Linked DNA regions of Drosophila melanogaster. Each later gene encodes a partner of the first gene's protein in a complex. Each region holds a gene or a part of one and is shown on either strand. Other genes may lie near its edges.

Region 1 (3,600 bases):
ATGCGGTCAAGGAACTCTTTCTTGCGCTGCATCGTAACCATTGTTGCTATCTCCTGAACGCGGTCCGGCGGAATAGTCGGAATCAGCACCACGGGCGCTGTGGAGCGCTTCTTGGCCAACGCCTTGCGCGCCTCCTTCATCTTGTGACGCGTGTCCTCGAAGTCAGGCACGTTCATCTTGAGCTTGGCGTCGGCCGGCGTGTGGGCGTGGCAGTAGGCAAACTTCTGAACATGCATGGACGAATCGTTGTGCCCGTCCTTAACCGTGTCCATGGTCATGTAGAGGCCCGCTTGCTGTGCGCATGTAACGTGGAAGGCGGCGTAGCAGCTGTTCCGATGGCACTGGATGCAGGCTCCCAAGCCCTTCTCCTTGCACACGTAGCAGGTGAGTCGCCAACGAGCGGGGGGAATGGTCTCAATTGAATCTATAAAAAGAACTCAGATGTTATTTGGAACTGGGATCAAAGAAACTGGGAGATCGAGCTACGCACCTATTGGCTCCAGAAAGACGGTGTTGGCGAACCGCACTTCCGGTATCCAAAGCGCACACACCACGTGCGCCCACTGCCCGTGGTCCGTCTGCTTGAATGCGCCGCCCGCATTGGGACAGAGCACACAGTTCACAGGCTTACTGGGTGACTGCAAGCATCGGCGGCACAGCCACTGGCCCTCCGGGATATAGGGGACACCGTAGCAGTCCTGGTGTACCGCCAGGTTGCACATGTCGCAGAAAAGTATCACGTTGGTGTTTTGGCACTCGCCGTCGAGGCAAATGCAGCAGACTGCGTCGTCGTCCACCTCGACGCCTGTGGGTGTGCCGTTGGCCGCCGCCTGGAAGTGCGACTCCTTCTCCAGCCGGTCCATCAGCAGCTCCATCGTGTCGATGCCCACGGCGTTCAGGCCGAGTCGCTGGCGCTCCTCGTTCATGTGCTCCAGCCAGGCGGAGTCCTCCTCGTCAACGTCGTACTCCACCTCCCCGTCCAGCTCCTCCAGGGACTTTTCGATGAAGCGATAGTAGGCCAGCGGCCGTGGCGGGGCGTCGGACACTCGGTAGTCCGGAATCTCGGCCACCCTGGCCACGGGCACCTGGACCCTTGCCCAGGGCGCGTTCTCCTCCAGCGGTGGTGCGTCGGCATTCAGAATACAGCCCCTGGCCACTAGGGCGGCGAACTCTTCGTCCTCTACGAGCGGCAAGGCGTCGTCGATGCCCAGGCGCACGCTCTTCCCGTCCAAGTTAAACGTCACCGTGGCCTCCTCCTCGTTGTAGGACACCAGTGACTCTGGATTGGCGTACTGCCGGGCGCTGACTCCGCTCGCCGATCCACCTCCTGCGCTGGCCGAGGAGCAGCCGTTTCTGGCCTCAGCTCCACCGCCACCCGGCGTGGGGTGATCCTTGTGCGGACGAGGCGTGGAGTGGTGGCCGCCGGAGCGTGAGCGCGCCTTCTTGCGGCTCGGAGTCAGCACGGGCGTGAGCGGCTGTGGGTTGTCGTGGTCGTACTTCATAAGATGGTATTGCAGACCCATGATGGTCTTGTAGCTGCGGTCGCAGCCGCGGACGGGACAGGCGAAAGGCGGCTGGGACTGCTGGGTCTTCACCCCTTTGCAGTATTCCACTGCGTCGAAGTCGAGGCCCATGATCTGGATCTGCGGCGCGATCTGTGGATCTGCTGCAGCTGGCTTCTCGGGGTTTGGCGGTTCGCTGGTCGCGGATCGCGGGCACTGTGTCTACTCCGCGGCACGGCTGCGCATACGTATGTGCATCCCACGGTGGTCGTCGCAGAGCGCGCGGTTTTGGCTGTCCACCGTTCCTGGTCGATTTTCGTTGGCTTGTTGCAAATTTTTTAACAAATGTGCTAGAGATGGGCTTGCTGGTCAGCTCGCCATGGCGATACTATCGTCGGAAGTGCTTGTGCAGCACTGGACGTTTGCTGAAACTTGTTTGAAATATTTCCGGTCCTTTACGCAAATTAATTCTCTTCCGTAATCTATATTTATAATTTAAATGTTCCTTTTTGTTCTTTCCCTTACCATTTTCCCTCAAATTTGTTTACAATATGTTTTTTGGGGAGCCGTGCAGCACTGCTTTCTAGAGATGGTAGTGGCGGGAACGTATTGGAACTGGTTCACCTAATGTTATACTTTCAAAATTTACAGGGCTAGAAATCCAGTACGTAACTATTTAAATAACCCAATAATATTATTTTAAAGAATTCAAATAAATATCTCCCAATATTCACTCAAAAAACAAGTTTTGGTTGTGTTTTTCATTTTGCGCGGGAACTTTATCGCCCGTGCAGTGTTGGAAAGCAGAGGCATAAATGCGCCTTACAGCACCCGACGAGCTGTTAACTGTCAACAGTGCACAATTAAAGGCATGTTATCAAATGCTGACGCGCGTCGCAATTGCCGCCATTTGAAAAAAACGATAAAATCGAAGGAACCGAATCCGGATTTGCAGTTTGTCAGATACAGTCGCTAGATATGGAGGACATCTTGGGCGTGCTGGGCTCGCTTTCGGACCTGCGCAGGGAGCTCGAGGTCCTGCGCAAGGTAAGCCAGGATCAGGAGACGAAATTCCGACACTGTCAACATGGCGTCATATGTGTTTTTTAGGCCCACTTTGAGGAGCTGGACCACCTCTTCTACGGCACAGGCCAGCCGGAGGCGGAGGCCAAACCGAGGGACAGTGCTCCGGCAGCGAAGAGTCAGGAGAACTCTTCGGTGACGCCGCAGCAAACGAAAAAGCGCCCCAAGCGACTCACCTCACTGGCCGAGGATCAGAATGAGCCCGAGGGTGAGTATCCTGGCCATTTTAAAGCATTAACGACCAACAACCCCTGTGATATTCCATTTGAGCAGCTCCAGACGCCACGGCCAACAACACGTCGGCCCGTCAAAGCACTCGGGTCAGCAACTCCCAGTTGCTGGCTATCGCCGAGGACGAGCACAACTCCACGGCCTCGCTGATGCCGCCTCCGCCTGTGCCCGTCTCGGCGGACACCACCCTCGGCTCCGGAAGGCCACAGCGAGCCGCTAAGCTGAAGACCGAGAAATTACTCAAGGAGCCCTCACTCAACCGTAAGATGCGGCGGCCCAGCAGCGAGGAGCTCGTAAAGGTCAAGGTTGAGAGCGAGCAGCGAGTCTCCCAGTTTAACAGCTTCACCAGTGCACAGGCGTTAGAGGAAAATAAACTAGCGGAGCCGGAACTAGAAGAGCCAGCAGCAGAAACAGCTGAGCAGCAAAAGCCTCCGGAGGAGGCCTCAGTCACAGAGGACGTGAACACCACGAAGACACTCCGCGTGAAGGTAAAGCGCGAGAAACTCAGTACCGAAGCAGTGCCCCCGTTAACCAATGCGGTCTCCACGGCAAATGTGACCACCGTCTCCTCTGTAACAACGGAGGCAGCGCGACCGGACGATACGGTGGCCAGCAACACGACGACATCCACGGAGGTCTCCAAGAAGGTCCGCAAGAAGAAGAAGGACGTGGAAAGCCACCGACCCATAAAGGTGGAACGATTCAGCGACCTGGACAAGAGCTCGCCAGTCTCGTCGCGCACGCGCAAGTGTAGCAGCGATTCGCGAACGGTTCAGGAGCGATC
Region 2 (10,587 bases), on another chromosome or scaffold:
CACCTGCTTCCAGCCGTATTCATCACCAAGATCTCGCTCCATGTCGTCGATTTCCTCGTCCTTACTGTACCGAGCATAATCCTTGCGCAGAGTTCGCATCAGAATCATGGACACCAGACCCACCAGGAAGATGACCATCATGAAGCTGTTGAAGATGCTGAACCAGTGGATCTAGAAAAGATTAAAGAAAAGATGATGTCATCAAACTTTGACCTTTTCCTCTTGCTATTTATATAGAATATGATTCATTTGAAAGTTGTGGAGTAAAACTAGTTGAACTATACGCACCCTGTGCTGGAAGAAGTTGGGATCCAGGTACTTGTCGAATCGATTCTTGAACTCCACCTTGCTGGGCTTCCAGTTGACCTCGTAGGAGAAGTTGATGTGGGATCCCGGCTTGAGTTCCTCGCGGCCCTCGGTGGTCAGGGTGATATCCACGATTTGCTGGCCATTGTAGCCGATGTCGAACTTCTTGTGCGTGAAGATATAGTACTTGCCATCGCGCTCGTCGCGCTCACCGACTTTTCCCCAAATGGGCAGTCCATCGATGTACATCTGGTACCAGTACTCGTTCTTCACGGCATAGGTGAATGCCTTGGCGCTCTCCTCCTGCAAGGTGACCATGCAGATGACCGATTTGGGGGCGTCGCTCTTGAACTCCATCTCGTAGCCACTGAACTCTAGCTCGACTCCTTGCAGCGCCTCGCTCAGCGTCTCGTGGTAGTGCGATATCGAGGACTTCTGGCCACTGCAAAAGGGGAGAGAGAAGTACGCGTACGTCTCCTGCCGATTGTGGTACGGGCCCACCGTGTTCATCCACAGTACCACCTCCTCCCGGTCATTGTACTGCGTGGCAAAGTGGATCATGTATTCGGTGCTCGAGGGATGTGGCATCCGGACTCACCTTGTGATTGTGCTCATCTGCCTGGGAGAGCGACACGTAGCAGCTGGCGATCAGCAGACATAAACAAATTGCACGGAACGGCACCGTGGTTTGCGTGGCGCTGCTGCCCATTGTGTCTTGTGCAGGTGGTGACCTCGTTTGCGCGTCTTCCTGGTGACCTCGCTCTGCCGGCCTGATTCGGTTGCCCTCGCTGGGATTGCGTTTTCAAACAGTTTTGTGGCAAACACTCAGATTTGCCGACAGCAGAAATATTTTAGGGTTGTATCTTAGAGGTGGAGAAACATCGATGCCAACATCGATGTCATCGATGTTTTCGAAAAATCAAAAACGTCGATGTTTTTCGAGGAATCGTCGATGTTTTCAGCGCATAGAAACAGCAAAGTGTGTAAATTGTAAGTCTAAATTAATTTCCATATTTTCTAATACAATTATTAATAGCATATTGCATATTTATTGTGACTCGCCGGTGGTGTAGGCTGGTGTCTTGGAAGACATGGATAAATATCTGAAATGTAAGTTTTTTTTTTAAAGATCAATTTATTTGTTTTTTGCCAAAGACATCGAAAACATGGATGTTCGCCAACATCGATGTTTCTCCACTTCTAATGCCAACGAAAACGTGACTGGGAACGTATCGATGGGAAAAACGTTACAAAAATACCAACTATCGCATAGCGGAATCACCTTGGCGGGCTATTCGAATGTATCTCACAAATAGTTTTTAAGGAACCTACAGTCAGTACCAAATACTTAAAATTCCATTTATATTTTATTTTATGCTACAGAAAACTGATAAGCTGCATTACTTTTGAAAAGTTAAAAATTGTGTTTTTTAAATGATTTATTTATATAAATAAGCTTATGTAATACTATTGTTAATATGTAAAAAAAAAAGAATAAAAGAAAAAGAATAGTTTACCTAAGCAGTTGCTTGAATAATACATACATAATTTAAGTTTTATACATAATTTATCAACCCTCGCTCAGTAGGAAAAAAAGATGGCTCAGAAATGAGCAACGAATTGGAATGTCCGATAAGCCTTTTTTATCAAAATAATAATTTTTACATTCCCTTTTCATAACGCTTTCCCAGTTAGTTTGTGCCAATCGTAAAACAGCATCCGCAAAGTGAAGTCGCTGCTATTTTGTAGTACCACTACATTCTTATTTATTTAAGTAATATTTAAAGAATGTCCAGCTAACTATATGATTGCTAGTTCAAAAATGTTACTTTCTGCATCGATCCTAATATATTTCTTGCTGAATCTGCAATCTTCGAGTGCTGAGATTGCCGACTGCAGTTTCTATGATACCGTTGATATCTCGGAAGGCCAGAGGCTCTCGAATGGATCATACCTCTACGAGGGATTACTTATTCCCGCCCATTTGACGGCCAAGTATGAATTCAAGCTTCTGGCGAATGGAGATAAGGAGCAGGTGCCAAGTCACGTGAGAGGATGTGTGTGCAAGCTAAGGACTTGCGTCAGGTTTTGCTGCCCACATGACCACATAATGGATATGGGCGAATGCTACGCCAACATGACGACGGAGGAGAACGAATTACTGGACCCCATGCTAAATGTGACCCTGGACGACGGATCAGTGGTGCAAAGGCACTATAAGAAGGAGCTCATGGTGCAGTGGGATCTGCCAAAGCCCTGCGATGATATGTTTTACCTAGACAACCGGGATATAATGGATGAGTACACCTTGTTCGAGGTATGGCTGCTCGAAAAATAAGCATTTTTGGGCAGGATTTATTTATGCTTTGGCTCTCTGCAGAATGGAAGATTGCTGCGCCACTACGATCAAGTGTATTTGGACAAGTCGGAGTACTGTCTGCAGCACCGAACATTCGGCGAAGGTAACAACAACTCCATTCGCATTATACCCCACAACTGCTTGATACTGCCATCCAGAACGGGACAGACCGTTGGTAAGATGATGCCCATTGCTTGCATGGTAGCTCCCAGTTCTATATCTTTCCTATTTCCATAGTGATGATCACATCGTTGATATGCTTGGTTCTTACCATCGCCGTGTACCTGTGCGTTAAGAAGCTAATGAATTTGGAGGGCAAGTGTTTCATCTGTTACATGATGTGCCTATTTTTCGGATACCTGTTCCTACTCCTTGATCTGTGGGAGTTATCGCTCGATTTCTGTAAAGCAGCAGGTTAGCTTAGAGGGGATGCATTTCAACACAACTTGACAAACCATTGACCATTTACGACAGGTTTCTTGGGATACTTTTTCGTCATGGCTGCGTTCTTTTGGCTATCTATCATCAGTCGGCACTATTGGAAATGTCTTACCAATCCCTGTGCCTCGATGAACATTCGGTCAGAACGTGCGTTTCTGCTATACAGCTGCTTCGCCTGGGCAATGCCTTTGGCCTTGACCGGAGTCACCTATCTGGCTGATAACGTTGTGAACAACGAGGAGTGGCAGCCTCGCGTGGGCGACGAAGGGCATTGCTGGATCTATAGTGGGTTCTGTTTTGTATCCGGCTTGTGGTACCAGCTCACCAATGTTTTTCTTTCCACCCTCAGCTAAAAGCTGGTCTGCAATGGTGTACTTCTATGGACCGATGGTGCTCCTGATTCTCTTCAACATAACTATGTTTGTTCTGACGGCTAAACACATAATAGATTCCAAGAGGACTCTTCGAAAGATTGCTCGCAATGAAGGTAGAATACAGAAGCTGAATTCGGACAAACAGAAGTATATCAATTATAATAGTTGAAAATGTCAGTTTAAGATAAATATTATCAATTCGTTACAGTTACACACAATTTCTGCTGCTCTTCACTGTGATGGGGATGTCGTGGAGCTTTGAGATATTCTCCTACTTGGTGCAACGCGAGAAACTGTGGGTCAATATCTTTCTGGTAGCTGACTACTTCAACTGGTCCCAAGGCGTCATTATATTTGTGCTATTCATTCTGCGGCGCAAAACTCTTGTACTATTCAAGAAACAGTAAGTCTTATAGTTCATAGTTCGGGTAACCAGTTCCCTAAAATGTCTCTTTTCAGAATATTTCCCAAACAGAGAGCCTTTAGTAGATCTGCAACTCAAAGTACGATTGAATCCATTTCTCAAACAAAAAGGCATTTTAACATGACATAGTATTTTCTTCTCTTCGAATTAATCAATTTAATAGTAAAGTATAACTTTTTTTCTCACAAAATGTATGAATATATTTCACTTCATTCTACATTCTATATAGAATTCATTTAATCACAAAATGTATGAATATTTTTCTTTATATGACGTGCATCGACTATAGAAAATCGACTATAGTGTGCCACAATATATTTTACTCATCATTTCCTAATCAAACTATTGCAAACTTAACTTTGAGCCGAGGAAAAACCCTGTATGTCTATCAAAACTATGAGTCAAAAGTATGACGCGATGCTGAAAGTAGTTGCCTTTAAATATTGAAGTGATAAATGTAGAAAGAAGACATTTGTATGGAAATAAACTAAGTTTGTAAATCTACATTCGCTTTATTTCATGTACAAATTTTAATTTAAAAACTTTGAAGGTAAATAGTGCTTTATCAGATGCGGATTACACGGTAGCAGTTATCATCGATGTCGAATCTTCTTGTTTATGTGACCGCTTTTCTTCGCTGTCGCACTGGAGTTCGTGGATAGTTTGCTCTTTGTATTCGAAGTGGGTGTGCCGAGGAGATCCTTGTTCCCTCCACTGTTCGTAGATCCAGACACCATTCCGCTCACTACGCTGCCCTCATTGCGATGCGAGGGTGAATCTGTAAATAAAAAGGTGTAATTAAACATATATACTTTTCTGGAGAAAAGCGCTAAAGTTGAATCTCAATGTGCTGTGCTGCCTTACCCTTTTCGTCTTTCGGTGTGCTCTTGATTGTCGTGGTTCCGTCGTGGGCCGTTGTGGTGTTCTGATTGATTGAGATCTGATTGTCGCTGGAGTCTTCATTTGTGATGGAATCCGATTCGCTGGCGCGCTCAGCTAAAGGCGAATAAACATACTCATGTATGGCAACTAAAGCGTATCAATTTACACCCTTCTGGGCATAAAGCCTAGATCGATTACACAAGCGAATGACACAGTATGAATTATCCCCCACTTACGATTGCATATAGCCATGGAGGTGATGCTGGACTTGGAGAACAGGCGCTCGGCCTCCTTGAACTTGCGATTCCGCTTGTCGGCCTTGGAGTTGGTGGCCTTGTTGGAGGTCAGATAGCGCTCCCAGCCTCGGATGATGTTTCCGCACAACTGCGTGTCCTCTAGGTAGGAGCCCTCGAAGGCGTAGATCTGTCGCTCCAGATTGGCCAGTTGTTCCTGTCATTTATGCAACAAAAAAATGATAAAGTGCTGCGATTTCGGGTTTGTTTATATTGTGTCTCACCGATGTTTCGGCCTTCTTCTTGATGAGGTCCGCCAACTCGGCGCGAGTGTCCATGGAGCCGCCTTTCGTATTCGAGCTCGTTTTGGCCGACTTCTTTGGCTTGTTCCCGTTCGTTTCGCTGACATTTTTACTCGTTGGCGAGCTCATATTTTCAGAAAATGCTCGAATTTCAACAAATTTATATTTTGTTTTGGACAATGTGACCGGATATTGATAAAAAGTAATTACAATTAATCGATTTACGGATATCTGTTCCGACTATCGGTTTATGTCTTTGCTGAAATATGCATGCTAGTTCTTAACCTAATTGCATAGGTGGCGTTGTCGTTTTTCTTTAACAAGCTAATTTATAAACTATTAGTTTGAATGAATAAGTCTTATATTATTTGTGTATATGTTTTATAGATTCTTTAAATGTTAGTTTCTGCACTTAAAATTCAAAGTTATTTCATAATAAATCCATTGAAAGTTTGTTAATACTGCATTTATTCACTTTTGTAAGTGAATAGGACTGCCGAAATCAAAAAATAGCCCAGGAAAAAAAAAAACTGGTCAAAGAACTCAGTTACAAAACTTGATGACCATTTATTTTTGTAAGATTTTTCTTATTAGATCCATATGTTTTTTTTCACATTTTCTTAGATTTTATTTAACAGTGCTTGCCCCTTCACCACTTTGCATTTTGAAGCCAGTGTGGCTGCCATTGACCTCTCGTCTTGTTATTTTTATTTATGCGTATACCACGGACAAAAGATTCAGTTCAGCTGTAGCGCCATCATCATCGTCTTTTTGATGGTGATCTTCTAATGATCTCCCCGTGGGTCTTGCATAGTTTGTTGACCCAAGTTCGTTTCAAAGTTTGTTGAACTGCCGAAAAAAAGTGAAGCTACCGTTCTAGCTCTCTATTTCTTTCCGAACCCTCTTTCCTCTTTTTCCGCCTTTCGCTCTCTTGCCGCCTACTCTTTCTCTTTTACTTGGCTCTATTTTGGCTACCGCTTTTTATGGGCCTTCGTCGTCGCGCCTATTTCACTTTCGTCATACGCGGCGTATGCGTGATTTTATTTCTGCAGCACATCGCCTTTCGCGCTGACTATAGGAAAGCAATATAAAGTGAGGCTGCGGATGAAGACGAACTCGATTAGAAAATGAAATCATAATGCAGCGGGCAGCAAAAGCGAAACGGCAACGACCGTTGCAAGTCGCTGACTAAAGCAAAGTCTGCCATTCCGTCGTGTTCCACTAACACAATCGACTTAGTGACTAGGTGACTAACTGGCTCAGTGGCTAAGTGACCGACTGACTGACAGACTGCAGTCTATTCAATGTATGTCAAACATTGGCGCGCGCTTATTCGCGAAACAACAAAAAGTGCAGCAAAAAAACTTTCATTTTATTTAAACAAACACACAAGGCGCGGCCTGGACTTAGACTTGGAAAAACTTATTTATATTTGGTTTTAAGCAAACATCTGCCAACTGAAAACTCTGACGTTCGATCGTCTTAAGCCACCTTCTTCTGGTTTACACTGGGAAAAATATTTAGAAGTTTATTGTGGCTGTCAATAAAGATACGTTAGTTAGTTACTTCTTAATGTATTTGTAACTTCTTCGATACATTTTTATTAATATACATATATTTTTTAACTTAGTTTTTAGTTTGTTGCTTACTGCAACTGTTTTTGGTCAGTGCTGCCATTGGATGGCAGCTTACTATAATTTTTATGATGAATTGCCTGGCCGCGTGTGAAATCTGCAGCAGTCGCAGCATTGGCCGGTGGAAAAGTGGAAAACTGCCAGAAAAGTGGAACACAGCTAAAGAAGCAGCAGTGTTGCAAGTGCAACAACTGCGGCAGCAGCAGCAACACAAACACTCTCGACTAATTAGCTGCGTTTTAGAAATTCAGGCGGCAATGAAAACAAAATCGAGTTCAATGCTTGCAACGATGACGTTGTTGTTGCACTCCGCTTAGTGTGTTTTCGACTTTTCCGAGAATTTCACATATAGCATACATAGGCCGAGCCGGCGCTTTCCCAACGCCAAGCGAGTGAAAATGAGTCTGCTTCATTTTGGGCAGATAGCGAAAACTGCAAGATGAAACGTTCAGCAAGAGCAATATTTTCAAGTAGCATATTTTTAATTAAATTTAAGAACCAGATGTGCGCATTGCACTAATTCTGAATGGGTTTAGTTGGGGGATCAAAAAGGATGTACTTTCTATTAATGATAAAGTACTCAACAATACGCAGAGTCGTTAAAAAAACTTTTGATATACGAATATATAGGAATTAAAATAAACTTTTGCGTAAAAAAAAACGCCAAAAGCAATTGACAACTCGTGAAATGTCAATAAGCCATAAGAATGGGAAATACACTTTTAATATCTTAATTTTTATTTTTATTTAATTACATATTTGCTTTAAAAACTATTTTATATACAATATTTGGGATTAACCCTTGTAGGCCAATCGGTGGCATTAGTGACATCATAGCCGAGATAACAGAAATGCACTTGCTATGCATCCACACACATGCAATGCACATGCAAATGCAGAGCTTTCTAAGCTTGCTCTCTTCTTCGCTCTCATTCCCAGTGGCTCTCTGTGTGCAAAGCTCTAGTTTTTGTTGCAGCAATGTGCAAAATGCCGGAAGAAACTTGATCTTGATTATTTTCTACGTGCGAGCGAGCGAGAGAGCAGGTGCGCAAAAAGTTCAAGTTGAATGTCGCGGCCATTGTGGCGCTCTCTCGCTTGCTCGCTTCGGTTATGTATGTGTGTGAGTGCGTTTCAGTGGGGCGTCACAATTTGCACTCGTGGTGCTTTTGTTGTTGCTCTTTTGTGTGTGGGCACGAATGCATTTCAGATTTTTGATTTGTTCTAAGCGATTTGAAAGCTTTTTCTAGTCGTTGCACTTTTCGCATGCTTTATAACATGCAATGAATAGAATACACCTCTTGTGTGAGTTCCTGAAACTATGTTTTTGCTTTTTGTGGCCGCATATGTTGACTATAAGCTAGCTATTTGTTCTTACTCTCTTAAAATGTATGAGTTTTTTATACTTCCTTTGTTTGCTTGGTCCTATGAATCAATTGCAGCTAAAAAGTATAGTTTTATGCACTTAGGAAGAACTCGTTTATAAATAGTCTCGTAATTTATAAAATATTTTCATTCAAGGGAATACCATTTCTCCTCTGTTCGTCTTTGATGTCGTTTACCTCTTTAGCCTTTGAATGATTTTAATAACTTCCTTCAAAATTGTTTAATGGCTACTTGAGATTCTGTTTGTATTTCGCACCTTTTGGATATTGCCCTTGTCAAACTAATATTTTTTTTACCCATCTCTTAGGCTCACCGAACCCTTTTAGCTGTTGACCAACAAATAACGCATAAACGCAAACGTTTCGACGAAAAATAAAATAAAAACCGAAAAATGTGCAATCAAAGTTAGGTAAGAGAACTGACCTTTAACAATGCTGCACAGATCGACGACATCGTCATCGTCTCCAGCATCGTATCCCCTCACTCTCTTTTCTACCCAAAACCAAAAACACATTCACCCAATAACGTCGCCGCTGACAAACAACAAACATTCCTTTTTCAAGAGACAACACTGCAAGGCACACACCAAAAACTTTTTCAAGCTGCGCACCAATGGCAAATACAACAATGCCAACAAAACCGAAACGAAAGCCCAGCTCAGTAAAAAGAGCAAATCAGTCTAGCGACAGTCAAGACCACAAGTATATAATTTAATTGTGGCTACAAAAAGTTAAAAAAAAGTTGAAGTTCAATTTAGTGACAATAATTGAAATCTTACATACAAATTAAAATATCATAAAAGAAATTAAAGTGTAGTAATTAACCTATAAAATGCTCAACAGAAATAATCAAAGTTATAACTCCTATTATCTTGACCGCAACTGTGCGTTGGCCTCCAAGAGGCTGAGAATCAGTTAACAGAGAGCCAGACGGCTAAGAGAGAGTGGGCGGGGGAGAAAGAGAAAGAGACGGGGCGAATGGAGTGCACGAGGCGAATGAACTTTCGTGGCGCTCCGTTTTAATGCTGCCTGCGCGTTGGCATGAAAGTTATGCAACGCAACACACACACACACTCGCAAACAGAGCCACACAGAGTCTGAGCTCGGCTCTCGGCTTTTCACACGAAGCTGGACGAAGTAAGCTAACTGTTTTGCGGACAGAGGAAGCAGCAAGTGATGAAGGAGGCGACAGAGGAGGAGAGATAGAGAGACGAAAGCAGCGACGACGAGTCGTTGACTTTGCATAAGTGTGCCAATTTATAAAACAGTTCAAGATTAACGTGGCCTTCAACACCCGTTCAGAAGACAAACGCAACAACTGGCCATAATAAATACAACGAGCGAGTGAAATACATACATATATAGTGCAATATATTAGCGAACCTATAACTTTCTTATTAACTAAATAAATAGGATTAATGATTCCAAGTACCCATAAGAAAACGTTAAAAGATGTTTTTACTTTTAATAAATTCAGCAACAGTCATATCGAGCAGTTATCCTCTTTGATTATACTTAGTAAAGCATGTAAAGATTACTTTTTTTACGAAATCTATAATGCTAATGATTAGAAAAGTAGGTATGATTAAGACACCATGCAAATATTTTATTTTAAGAAATAAAGAACGATATTAAATGTTTTGAGCATCTCAAAATATAATGGATTGTTAGTATAAAATAATACCTTTCATGTTCAAACTTATTTTTGGTCATTGCGATTATCTTCTTGGGAGAATATTTTCCCCTGCGGCCCTAAATCATTTCCTTCTGTGGCCCTGTACCTTTTGGCTTTTTCCCTAGCCGCATTTGGCCCTGACAGAACATCACGAATTTGCCACGTTTTGTTGCTGTTCTTTGCTTGCAGCATTGCAATTGAGCATGCAGCAAACATTACTGTACATTCACCCACTTTTCAAAGTTCAAACACAGACACTCGAACACACACAAACACACACATTAGCGGAGAAAGAGAAGCGAAACAGAAAATTGCATTCTAACAGAGTTGCGCATGCGCAGCGTAAAATCCGATGGTCTATTGGTATTGGTGGCGCAGTTGCAGTTGCAGTCGTTGCAGAAAGAAAGAAGCGAAAAAAACTGCTTTCTCTTGCAGTCCAAAATCAAATTCGCTAAACTTTATGGCAAACTTCTAACGCAAAGAGCAAGCAAAAGAAGTTGCTGCTAGAAATTCAGGAGAATGTTTTCTATATTTCCAACATTTTCGCTATTTTGAAAACACCAATACATAGCTCA

Evidence for each region.
Region 2: Br140 (region 1) and Eaf6 share a complex: the UniProt entries of both Drosophila melanogaster proteins name them as parts of the enok complex.

Annotation. Positions count from the first base shown.
Region 1 is NT_033778.4:7,276,249-7,279,848, forward strand, and holds the start of Br140 (Bromodomain-containing protein, 140kD), read right to left. Parts: upstream 1,854-3,600; 5' UTR 1,635-1,853; coding exon 491-1,634; intron 425-490; coding exon 1-424. Other genes in the region: Incenp (inner centromere protein), read left to right, coding at 2,481-2,549, 2,613-2,793, 2,859-3,600. UniProt on the Drosophila melanogaster protein: Scaffold subunit of the histone acetyltransferase (HAT) Enok complex which has histone H3 acetyltransferase activity.
Region 2 is NT_037436.4:5,602,784-5,613,370, forward strand, and holds Eaf6 (Esa1-associated factor 6), read right to left. Parts: upstream 5,518-10,587; 5' UTR 5,451-5,517; coding exon 5,304-5,450; intron 5,237-5,303; coding exon 5,023-5,236; intron 4,901-5,022; coding exon 4,769-4,900; intron 4,683-4,768; coding exon 4,498-4,682; 3' UTR 4,379-4,497; downstream 1-4,378. Other genes in the region: TM9SF3 (transmembrane 9 superfamily protein member 3), read right to left, coding at 1-171, 289-846, 905-1,015; mthl2 (methuselah-like 2), read left to right, coding at 2,111-2,623, 2,687-2,840, 2,903-3,079, 3,140-3,391, 3,456-3,627, 3,689-3,883, 3,940-4,033. UniProt on the Drosophila melanogaster protein: Component of the Enok complex which has a histone H3 acetyltransferase activity. Might be involved in transcriptional activation of selected genes.